Linked DNA regions of Callithrix jacchus. The protein of the gene in region 1 purifies or fractionates together with the protein of each later gene. This does not show direct contact. Links are inferred from orthologs where the notes say so. Each region holds a gene or a part of one and is shown on either strand. Other genes may lie near its edges.

Region 1 (5,451 bases):
CTCAGGATGCTTCCTGTGTGCCCAGCCCTGTGCTAGGATGTACTATAGGAATAAGACACACACAGAGCACATGTTCCCTGAAAGAGTAAACAGCCCTAGCATTTCTCTAGTAAATGCCTCCTGTCTGCCTCACTGCTCCAACCCAACTAGCTGAGCCAGCCCCCAACCACAGAAAATGCAGAGAATTCCCAAATCACTTAACCTGGCTGAAAGAACATTTGGTAGGATTGGAAGGGAAAAGAAAACCAAAAGTCTGTAAACTCATGGGGAAAAAAATACACGTAGTACAAAGTATTTTCTCACCCTGATTGAGGAACTTTCAGTAAAGTCAGCTCCTCTACTGATCACTCCCCTGGAGGTCTCTCTGGCTTAGGGTCTAAACAGCTCCTTCTCTTCCAGGCTTAGATCTCTAGCTTTCTTCCCTTTTCTGAAGCTTGACTTTTTTCCTTTTGCTCCTGCATCACATCTGGGCCTTAAATTGCCAGAAGTATGTAGCCTGCCTTTCATCATGTCTCTCTAGTGACCACCCCTTTTGAGTTGTCTAGGAAGTTCCTCTTTCCTGGCTCGAGCATTCAGCCTCATCTTCAAAGGAAAAATGACTAGCAGATCTTTAGTTCAATTAATGACAGTGCCCTTCCTGGTTCAGGTTTACCAGCCCTGCCTATGTCCCAAGATCCCTCTCTGCCTCATCCCTTAGGTATCCTGAGGCAAATTGTTTCCAGAAATGTGACTCCACAATTAAAGTAATTACTGCATGCTTAACATGTGCTAGACACTGCGCCAGGCTCTTTGTATACTGTCGAATATTAAAAACAATCCTACAAGGCAAGTACCACTATTATGCTCATTTTGCAGATAAGGACACTAAGATCCAGAGAGGTTTAGTAACATGTGTAAGGTCACAAGGTTGGTAAATGGAAAGGCTGGGATTCAGAACCATTTCTCTCTGTGGTGAAGAGCTTGTGGTCTTAACCATTATGTACCATTCCAACAAAATGAAAAATTATTGTATACAGTTGTCCCTCAGTATCCATGGTGGGGGCGGAGGTTGGGCCCAGCACCCATTACCCAAGGATGCTCAAGTCTTTTATTTGAAATGGCATACAGTATTTGCAGATAACCTATGCATAACCTTCTATATACTTTAAACCATCTGTAGATTACTTATAATACCTCATACATTGTTACATAAACCTTTGTCATACTGTGCAAGAAGTAACGTGTGTACGTATTCGGTACAGATGCACATTTTTTTTTAAATATTTTAGATTCAGTTGGTTGAATCCACAGATGCAGAACTGACAGATACAGAGAGCCGACTGTATACAATAAAAATATTTGGCATAGTTTGAACCAGGGAAAGGGATATTGATCCCTCATAGCTTCTACCATCCAAGAGCTTAAACTTTTTTTGAGAAAATAAGACTTAGGGGAAATGGAGACTGTGAAACCACATCAGGGCCAAAAGGAGAGGAATGGATAGTATACTGCAGAAAAAGGGACGGCGCTGCAGATTTCGCTCATTCCCTCCACATACATGCCTTCTGAAGAAGGGTGCATCAGTGAATTAGAAAATGTCCCTACCCTCAGAAGAATCCATAGAACAGTCAGGGACACACAATGGTCAGCCAATACATTATAACATAATTCACCAAATGCTAGAATAGAGGGGGAGGGGGGCACACAGAATGACTCACTACTAAAGGAAGAAGAGCAGGAGGAAGAGATGGCATTTGACCTAGGCTTTGAAGGATGAGAGGTTTCACCACATGGCAAATGAGCATGAGCACAGGCATGGAGGAGGGAATGTAGTATGCTCAAGGAAAAGTGAGTATTTTTATATGAGCACAATATAGGTGCTTGAACAGGTAATGAATCTGATGGGCAGGGAGAGGCCAGCTCAAGAAGGGCCTTGAAAGCCAAGTAAGAGTTGAGACTTCAGCCTGAAGGGCATGGGGAGTCACTGAAACATTCTAACCAAGGACTAACATATCTTCATTTGCCTGTGAGAAAAATCACTCTGCTACGACCCAGATGAAAAGGAGCAGAGAAAAAGCAGGAGATTGGTTTGGGCTTAAACGACACAGAAAAAGCATGAGATTGGTTTGGGCTTAACACCACCATAGTAAAGGGAGAGAAAGCTTAGGAGATAGATGGAGGGGGAGGCAGCAGGACTTGGTGATTCACTGAGCTTGGGGGATGACCAGAAGCTGATGGTGCAGTGGTAACAGTTGCAAGCTCTGAAAGGGGAGGAGCTGATTGGAGGGGAGAGAAGACTTAGTTTGTGTTGCCTGTGGGTTACCCCGTTCCAGCCTATCTGCCCTCTTAAGTTCACAGTGTGCCTGCGTCGGGAAGGGCAGACTGTGTACCAACAAGTCCTGTCCCTGGAGCGCCCAAGTGTCCTGCGCAGCTGGAACTGGGGCCTGTGTGGGTACTTTGCTTTCTACCACGCCCTCTATCCCCGAGCCTGGACTGTCTATCAGCTTCCTGGCCAGAATGTCACCCTCACCTGTCGTCAGATCACACCCATCTTGCCCCATGACTACCAGGTGAGACCCCCACATCTGTATCTTCCATTGCCCTCCCTTCCCCAGGACCTGCTTCTGCTAGAAACTGCATGGCCTGTGAAAGGGAGGTTGGAGCCATGAGCATCACGCTGGCTTCCCAGAACCACCGCCCAATTGGTTCTAGTCTTCTGTGTCCCCTGGTAGGCTGCTTGCCTGGGAATACGGGGAGACGCAAGTGGACAAAAAGAGTACGCTGGGGAGTATTTGAGTCAGGTCCCTGGTGCGCCCAGGACCGATCCTAAGAGAGTGGGGTCAGGAGGGGCTCTATGGGACTGTCTGAGTCTAACCTTCTGCCCCCAGGACAGCAGCCTGCCTGTAGGAGTCTTTGTGTGGGATGTGGAAAATGAAGGGGACGAAGATCTAGATGTGTCCATCATGTTTTCCATGCGGAATGGACTGGGGGGTGGAGACGATGCCCCAGGGGGTTTGTGGAATGAGCCCTTCCATCTGGAGCGTGATGGGAAAACTGTCCAGGGGCTGCTGTTGCATCATCCAACCCTTCCAAACCCCTACACAATGGCTGTGGCTGCACGAGTCACGGTAAGGAAAGAGCCTGCCCTATACCTTAGCCCCTGAATCCCACTCTTAGCCTAGCCCCTGTACCACCTCCACCCCAGAATGGTCACTTCATTCACCCTCATCATAGCCTGTAAGCCCCTGGGGCCTGGGAGGTGAGGGTAAGTAAGAGGAGCGGGGGAGCTAGCCGGGATTCAGTGTACTTGTAGAGCCTGCCCTTACAGTCCCTGGCCCCTTCACAGGCAGATACCACGGTAACCCACATCACAGCCTTTGACCCTGACGGCACGGGGCAGCAGGTGTGGCAGGATCTACTTCAGGATGGACAGCTGGATTCTCCCGCTGGTGATGGGGGGGTCTGACTGGGAGATGGTGGGAAGAGAGGTTGTCCCTGTCTTGGGACCAGGGGTGGGAGGCCTGTTAATGAGTAGGCCTTGTTTCCATGTTATGGATCCCTATCCCTGGGGCTGAAGTGGCTCCTGTCCTGAATCCTCTTGTGCTTCTCTCAGGCCAAAGCACCCCCACGCAGAAAGGAGTAGGTGTTGCTGGAGCTGTGTGTGTTTCCAGCAAGTTGCGACCTCGAGGCCAGTGCCGCCTGGAGTTTTCACTGGCTTGGGACATGCCCAGGATCATGTTTGGAGCTAAAGGCCAAGTCCACTACAGGTGAGGGGACCAAGAAAGTATAAGGATCCAAGGCACTGGGGCTCTGACCTGGGGCTTGTGTTCATCCATTTTTTTTCTACCCCAGGCGGTATACAAGGTTCTTTGGCCAGGATGGAGATGCAGCACCTGCCCTCAGCCACTATGCACTGTGCCAATACACAGAGTGGGAAGAGAGGATCTCAGCTTGGCAGAACCCAGTACTGGATGACAGGTGCCAGTGGGGCCCATCGCTTTCCTTTCTCCTAGGCACTCACTCCAAATGGGACTCCTCGATTCACTCTCCACCCACCAAAGTCAGTAAACTTACACGGGGATTCATTTGGTGCTACCACTCTGCTGAACCCCAAAATCCTTTCTGTCTTGGGAGGTACATGTTCCTTAAGCCATTTCCTCCCCCTCACTCCCCAGATTGTTGCCTGCCTGGTACAAATCTGCACTGTTTAATGAACTGTATTTCCTGGCCGATGGAGGCACAGTATGGCTGGAAGTTCGTGAGGACTCCCTACCACAGGAGCTGGATGGGAACATGTGTCACCTCCGCCCCACTCTACGGGATTACGGTCGATTTGGCTACCTTGAGGGTACAGGATGCTGGTGGGCTAGGATATGGCAGGCCATCCCCAAGGCAGGATGATGGATTTGCCTACCTCAGGGTATTGGTTAGGGTGAGGGGGTAAGTGACAGCGTCCCACCTCCAACTCTAGAGGACAAGGTAGAGAGGAGTTTGAAGGGGAAGCGGGAATTCTAGCAACAGAACTTGTCTCATTCATTCCTCCAGGCCAGGAGTACCGCATGTACAACACATATGATGTTCATTTTTATGCTTCCTTTGCCCTCATCATGCTCTGGCCCAAACTTGAGCTCAGCCTACAGTATGACATGGGTGAGGGTCCCTTTTGTGCCACTTCTGCCCTCTTGGCTGCCCATACCCTTGAACCTCTGTGATATCTCAGATTGTCTCTTCTTTCCCTTCCCTTCAAACCTATCTGCATGCTGCTTACTGGTTCCTCACTGGGGTCACACACATAGCTAAAGCCTGCCCATTCCCTGCCTCCATTGTGTATCTGCTCCCCTAGCTCTGGCCACTCTCAGGGAGGACCTGACACGGCGACGGTATCTGATGAGTGGGGTGATGGCACCTGTGAAAAGGAGGAACGTCATCCCCCATGATATTGGGGACCCAGGTAAAAGTCCACCACAAGGTCAGCTTCCCTCCCTCAACTTTTGCACCCTCTACCCTACTGACCAATGCAAATGACCCAGGTCCCCTCCTTTCCCACAGATGATGAACCATGGCTCCGGGTCAATGCATATTTGATCCATGATACTGCTGACTGGAAGGACCTGAACCTGAAGTTTGTGCTGCAGGTTTATCGGGACTATTACCTGACGGGTGATCAAAACTTCCTGAAGGACATGTGGCCTGTGTGTCTAGTAAGGGATGCACATGCAGTGGCTAGTGTGCCAGGGGTGTGGCTCGTGTTTGGGAACAACCTAGCTGGTTGTTACCTTTCCTCAGTACCTAGATCTTCAGTATCTTGGTCCCTCTCTAGGCTGTGATGGAATCTGAAATGAAGTTTGACAAGGACCATGATGGACTCATTGAAAATGGAGGCTATGCAGACCAGACCTATGATGGATGGGTGACCACTGGCCCCAGGTTAGCGGGTAGGGGTTTCCAGGAAGCCTGAGGTGGGAAACGGGC
Region 2 (6,195 bases), on another chromosome or scaffold:
TGTAAAATCACACCTGCCTGTCCTTTGTCTACCCTTTGATGGGATCTCCTCCTTGCCTCCTCTTTGCTCTCTTTCTTCCAGCTATCCTGGCTTTCCTGACTTTCTCTGCACATGCAAATCCCATGCCGTTTGTAATGAGTTGAATGGTGGACCCTCAAATGTCCATTCAGAACCTGCAAATTTGACCTTACTTGGAAAATGTGCCTTTGAAGAAGTAGTTAAGTGAGGGGTCTCAAGATGAGGCTCTCCTGGATTAGGGTGGTCCCTAAATGCAATGACAAGTGTCCTTGTAAGAGACAGAGGAGGAGGTGCAGGCACAGGGAATAAGGCTGTCGGAAGATGTACGCAGAAATTGGAGTGCTGCAGCCACACGCCACAGGATGCCTGGGGCCCCTTGTAGTTGGACGAGGTAAGGATCCTCCCCTAGAGATCTTTAGAGATGTGTGGCCCAGCTGATGCCTCGAGGCCGAACTTCCAGTCTCCAGAAGTGTAAGAGAATTAATTCCTGTTGTTTGAAGCCACTAAGTTTGTGGTAATGTGTTAAGGCCACTAACGGAAATTAACAAACCACCTCAGGGCCTTTGCATGTGCCATCTCCTCTACCTGGATTACTCTTTCCCCAGATCCTTGTGGGGTCCATGCCCTCACTTTCTCCTGGTCTCTCTGCTCAACTGTCACCTCCTTAGAGAGTCCTCCTGCTCATCCTAGCTAAGAAATGCCCATACTGTATCCCTCTAACTTTATAATTTGTTGCACTTCTCTTTAAATATCAATCAATTTAGATACTTGGTATTTGTTTCCTCCTCCCCCATTCCCCCCCCCTTTTTTTTTTAAAGAGACAGGGTCTTGCTCTGTTGTCCAAGCTTGGCACAATCACAGCTCACTATAACCTCTTGGGTTCAAGCGATCCTCCCTCCTCAGCCTCCCAAACAGCCAATTTTTCTGCCTTTTTTTTTTTTTTTTTGAGACAGAGTCTCACTCTGTCGCCCAGGCTCAAGCGATTCTCCTGCCTCAGTTTTTTTTTTTTTTTTTTTTTTTGAGACAGAGTCTCACTCCATCACCAGGTGCCATGCTGGAGTGCAGTGGCGCGACCTCGGCTCACTGTAACCTCCTCCTCCTGGGTTCAAGCAATTCTCCTGCCTCAGCCTCCGAAGTAGCTGGGACTACAGGTGCGCACCACCATGCCCAGCTAATTTTTTTGTATTTTTGTAGAAATGGGGTTTCACCATGTTGGCCAGGATGGTCTCGATCTCTTAACCTCGTGATCCACCCGCCTTGGTCTCCCAAAGTGCTGGGATTACAGGCGTGAGCCACCGTGCCTGGCCTCTCCTCCCTCAGTTTTATTTATCTATTTTTTGAGAGACAGGGTCTCAGTTTGTTGCCCAGGCTGGTCTCAAATTTGTGGCCTCAAGCAATCCTCCTGTCTTGGCCTCCCAAAGTGCTGGGATTACAGGTGTAAGCCACCACACCGGGCCCAATTTTTGTCTACTCTTAAGCTTCCCTGAATGTTAACACCTTATATAACCATGATACATTTACTGACACAAAAAGATGAACGCTGGTTCATTACTATTAACTCAACTCCAGACTTTATTTGCATTTCACCAGCTTTATCCACAAATTTGTCCTTTTTTTGATACCTGGATTCAGCCCAGAGTAGTATATTAAACTTAGTTCTCACGTCTCCTTTCCCTCCTCTGGTCTGTGCCAGTTCCTCGGTCTTTCTTGGTTTTTCATGACCTTGACAGTTTTGGAGGTCTGGTCAGGCATTTTGTAGAATGTGCCTCAATTTGGGTTTCCTTTGCTGGCTACTATTTCTTTTATAAACAATATACACACATACGCACACATATATACATGCATAAATACTTATAGTGTGGAAATACACATAACATAAAATCTACCATTTTAAGCATTATTATTATATTTTTTGAGACACGGTCTTCTTGCTCTGTTGCCCAGGCTAGGGTGCAGTGGTCTGGCCACACTGATGTGGAAAGCAAGCTGTGTTCGGAGGACCTGAACCTAGGGCTTGCAAATGTGGGGCCAATGGCAGGCTGTGGAAGGTGGGTCCCCAAAGGTCTTCGCTCCTGGAGCCGCTGAGGGGCGTGGCCTCCTGGTTTAAAAAAAAAAAAAAAAAAAAATCGCTTCGAGGCCTGCAGTGCAAGCCAATGAAAGGCTAGGGTAGGTGGGGCCTGCGCGCGAGGCGGCCAGTAGAGGGAAGGCTCTTTCGCGTGGCCCCCCGAGCGTGGTTCCGACTGCGCAGGCGCACCGGCCGGACTACGGGACGCCGCTGAGCCAAGTGGCCGAAAGGGGCACGGCTGCGCTCCTGGGTCACGTGACACGGAGGGGGTCCGAATTCTGGTGGAGGCAGCGCCCTATCCTGGAGGTGAAGGTGAATAACCTCGGCGGTCGAGCTGGTGACGGAGAACCGCATACTGATGCGATGCGACCTCGACTCGTGGCTTGGGCCAGTGCGCTCTCCAAGGGAGAGGCGTGGCTTGCGCAGAGGGTCGCTCCTTCTAACTCAGGGGGCGTGACCTCGTTCCTCTAGGTGACGTAACGTGGGGCTGAGATTTGGGGTCCCGTTGTGGAAAGAGAGGCGGGGCTTCCGCTTGTCCATTGAGAAGTAGGTAAGTGGAAGATAACTGTGTAGTGCTGTTGTCACCGCCGTGACCTGTGGTGGCTAGTTTGGGTGGGAGTGGTGGTGACGTAAAGGACTGGGGTTAGCGCCGCGTGGGGCGTGACTTTGTCTCAGAGAGGCGGCCTCACCCAGTGCCTAGGCGCACAAGGGGCGTGGCCTGGCAGCGTTGGGGGTGTGGCCGCACCGAAACTGGAGCCAAGGGGCGTGGCCCTGGATTCGGGCTGGAGGAGGGGGCGCGATTTCTTCCGAATAAGATCACTGTCGCGCCCCAGTCTGGGCAGTGCTCTTTCTCTATCAGGTGCCACCTCATGGAGATCCCGGAGGCCGCCGCCCCTGTCGGGAGTTTCTTCCCCTTCTTTCTGCTCCTGGCCTGCGGGACGCTGGTGGCCGCCTTGCTGGGCGCCGCGCACCGCCTGGGACTCTTCTATCAGCTGCTGCACAAGGTGCGGGGCAAGGAATGGGAAGCGGGCTGGTGGTAGCCAAAGAGGGAGGGGCCTTGGGACGCTGCTTCCAGTTCACTCCTCATTGTGCAGCGTGGGAAAGCGAGTCCCGACTAGCCCAGAGGGACTGGTAAGAGGTTCTGTCCATGACCCTGTCTCCGTTGCCACGCTGCCTGCCTATGGGGGCCTGAACTTTGCCACTAGTGATAGAGAACACGGAAGCGGCCTCTGCCCGGGCACTCAAACCCCGCCTACCTCCTTCCCCAGTGGCTCTTTTCACAGACAGCACTCTGATTGTGCTCCCTAAACTGGATGGGATAGATGGGGCTGAGGGCAGGCACCAGCAAGGAGATGGCAGTGAGTTTCGTGACAGTTGCCCTTTGCTGAGTTCAACACTTTAGACTTTCTTACCTACCCCTTACCTTTTCCTTGAAAGTAGATGCTGTTCTTTCTGACCTCATTTTCTGCAGGAGAAAGCTAAGTCTCAGAGAGATTGTGTGGTAGTTTTCCCTAGGTGGCCCCACATGCCTCCCCCACGAACTACTTGCACACCTGTTTGAAATTTACCCCTTCCGCAGACCCCCTTCTCAACCCTTTCTCTCCTAGCAGGGACCAAGTTTGACCTCTCCCTCCCCAAACCCTTCTCTAGTCCTTCTTCTGCTAGCCAGGGGTGATGCCACTGACCTTCAGGACTTGTGGAGATTTAAAGCAAGCCTTGGATGTGCGGAACTGTGAGGCTGCTGGGGTTGGGAGGCCTCGGTACAGTGTGTGCCAGGAGCTAACTCCCGTGCCAGGCACATGGTGGCTCAGGGCAGTTTAACATCCATCAAGAGGGCATCAGGGAGGCTGGGATCAGCAGTCCAGCTGCCAGGCCCTGCAGCAATACTAGAGGGCAGGCAGGAGTCATAGCAAATGGCTCTCTGCCTTGTGCCCTGGCTAAACCTCCTGGGTTATATAACCCTCTCCTCTCTCCCTGATTGCCTTGCCATCCCGGAGGCAGGAAGTGTAACAGTATGGCACTTAAGAGTGTGGGTTCTATTGGACTTTCAATCTTGCTTGGGCAAGTGTTGATGTCCTCAGCTATAAGAGATGTAATGACAAGAAATTCTGATAAGACGCTTTGCCTTGCTTTGAGCCTGGTGTGTAGTGTAATATATGCCTAACCAAGACTAAGCTTCCCTTGACCTCCCACCCTGCTCCTGCCCCCTTACCTGGGTCAGGGGGATTGCCCCCTCTCCCAGCTGTCCTCTGGCGTGGCCTTTGACTCTATTGCTCCACCCACTCCTTGGGTCCAGGTGGACAAGGCAAGCGTCCGGCATGGCGGAGAGAACGTGGCCATTGTGCTGAGGGCCCATGGCGTGCGGTTCGTCTTCACGCTGGTCGGTGGGCACATTTCCCCGCTGCTGGTGGCCTGTGAGAAACTGGGCATCCGTGTGGTGGACACACGCCATGAGGTCACAGCTGTCTTTGCTGCCGATGCTACTGCCCGCCTGTCTGGTGAGGGCATTGCAGAGAGGGCTGGGGACTGTTGGATAGAATAGTGGTGGGAGAATGGCCAGAAGAGTGGGCGTGGCAGTGATGGGCTCTGTGTTCCAGGAACGGTGGGAGTGGCAGCAGTGACGGCTGGCCCTGGCCTCACCAACACAGTGACTGCGGTGAAGAACGCTCAGATGGCCCATTCCCCAGTCTTGCTTCTGGGTGGGGCCGCCAGCACTCTGCTGCAGGTACCCAGTCCATGGCGGCCAGTGGGGGCCCAGGGGGACTTAAAGGGCTCATGTGGTAACCCTGCCGCACCTCTGTCTTTGCCAGAACCGGGGTGCGCTCCAGGCCGTGGATCAGCTGTCCCTGTTTCGGCCACTCTGTAAGTTCTGTGCATCCGTGCGGAGGGTTCGGGACATCGTGCCCACCCTCAGGGCCGCAATGGCTGCTGCCCAGTCGGGCACCCCAGGTAGGTGGAGGATGGTGGTGCTGAGCAGCACTGGGGCTGAGGGGCTGGGGAGGCGTGTTGCAGACTCAGTGTCATCCCCGTCCCCGCAGGTCCGGTGTTTGTGGAGCTGCCCATTGATGTGCTGTACCCCTACTTCATGGTCCAGAAGGAGATGGTGCCAGCCAAGCCACCCAAGGGCCTTGTGGGCCGAGCGGTCTCCTGGTGAATAGCCCCACCCTGCCATTCCCTCCTCCATCCCCTGTCCTCTCCTGCAGCTTCCAGCTCGTGCCCATTCTCCTTTGATTCATATGTGGACTGGGAGGAGACTGCTGTGCAGAGAGCATTCCAGGTAGAAGGAACAGCATGTGCAAAGGTCCTGAGGCAGCAATGAATTGAGTGGATGGGGGAAGCAAGGTGGCCCTCATGGAGGCAGCAGAGGGGAGAGGCTCAGAACAGCCCTCCTCCTCCTCTTCTTCCTTTTCTTCTCCTCTTCCATCATCTCTTCTTCCTTTTCCTCCTCCCTCATCCTTCCTCTTCTCCTCCCTTTCCTCCTCTCTCTTTCCCCTCATCCTCTCCATTTTCCTCTCCCTAAAGGATGATCCTTGAACCTCAGAAGGGAGATTCACTTTTATATTTACAGTGGAGGAAGCTCAAAAAGGTGAAGTCTCTTGCCCAAAGTCACACAGCTAAGAAGTGGCAGAGCCCAGACTCGAGCCCTCTCCTTCCCGCTTCTTTCCTTCCTTCACATCTTTGTCCCCCCTGGCTTCCAGGTCACTCCCTTCCCTTGTTCTCCTCGTCCTTCTCTCTTGAGCTGTGTCTCACAGGCTCTCTCTTTTCTTGCCCCCTTTTTTTTTTTGAGACAGGGTCTCACTCTGTTACCCAGGCTAGAGTGCAGTGGTGCGATCATAGCTTACCACAGCCTTGAACTCCTGGCCTCAGTCAATCCTCCTGCCTCAGTTTCCCTTGCCTTTTTTTTTTTTTTAATATGCAGAGTTTCCCACGGTTCCATCCTTAGCTGCTTCTCCTGTGCTATCTTGGCCTGTCCTTTTTTTTTGAAATGGAATCTCACTCTGTCGCCCAGGCTGGAGTGCAGTGGTGCAATCTTGGCGCACTGCAACCTCTGCCTCCCAGGTTCAAGCAATTCTCCTGCTTCAGCCTCCCGAGTAGCTGGGATTACAGGCACA

The links.
Region 2: the proteins of GBA2 (region 1) and HACL2 purify together in Homo sapiens (co-immunoprecipitation; 3 studies listed by BioGRID and IntAct, counting the BioPlex papers as one, with this or other methods). This does not show direct contact. The link is inferred for Callithrix jacchus from reciprocal best matches to the Homo sapiens genes GBA2 and HACL2.

Annotation. Positions count from the first base shown.
Region 1 is NC_133502.1:142,644,149-142,649,599, reverse strand, and holds part of GBA2 (non-lysosomal glucosylceramidase), read left to right. Parts: intron 1-2,330; coding exon 2,331-2,549; intron 2,550-2,867; coding exon 2,868-3,107; intron 3,108-3,325; coding exon 3,326-3,428; intron 3,429-3,592; coding exon 3,593-3,746; intron 3,747-3,831; coding exon 3,832-3,957; intron 3,958-4,154; coding exon 4,155-4,327; intron 4,328-4,524; coding exon 4,525-4,629; intron 4,630-4,822; coding exon 4,823-4,930; intron 4,931-5,028; coding exon 5,029-5,180; intron 5,181-5,299; coding exon 5,300-5,406; intron 5,407-5,451. UniProt on the Homo sapiens protein: Non-lysosomal glucosylceramidase that catalyzes the hydrolysis of glucosylceramides/GlcCers (such as beta-D-glucosyl-(1<->1')-N-acylsphing-4-enine) to free glucose and ceramides (such as N-acylsphing-4-enine).
Region 2 is NC_133523.1:13,830,059-13,836,253, reverse strand, and holds the start of HACL2 (2-hydroxyacyl-CoA lyase 2), read left to right. Parts: upstream 1-2,284; 5' UTR 2,285-2,395; intron 2,396-2,554; 5' UTR 2,555-2,633; intron 2,634-2,923; exon of another isoform or gene 2,924-2,942; 5' UTR 2,943-2,952; coding exon 2,953-3,087; intron 3,088-4,379; coding exon 4,380-4,581; intron 4,582-4,680; coding exon 4,681-4,808; intron 4,809-4,893; coding exon 4,894-5,032; intron 5,033-5,121; coding exon 5,122-5,233; intron 5,234-6,195. UniProt on the Homo sapiens protein: Endoplasmic reticulum 2-OH acyl-CoA lyase involved in the cleavage (C1 removal) reaction in the fatty acid alpha-oxydation in a thiamine pyrophosphate (TPP)-dependent manner. Involved in the phytosphingosine degradation pathway.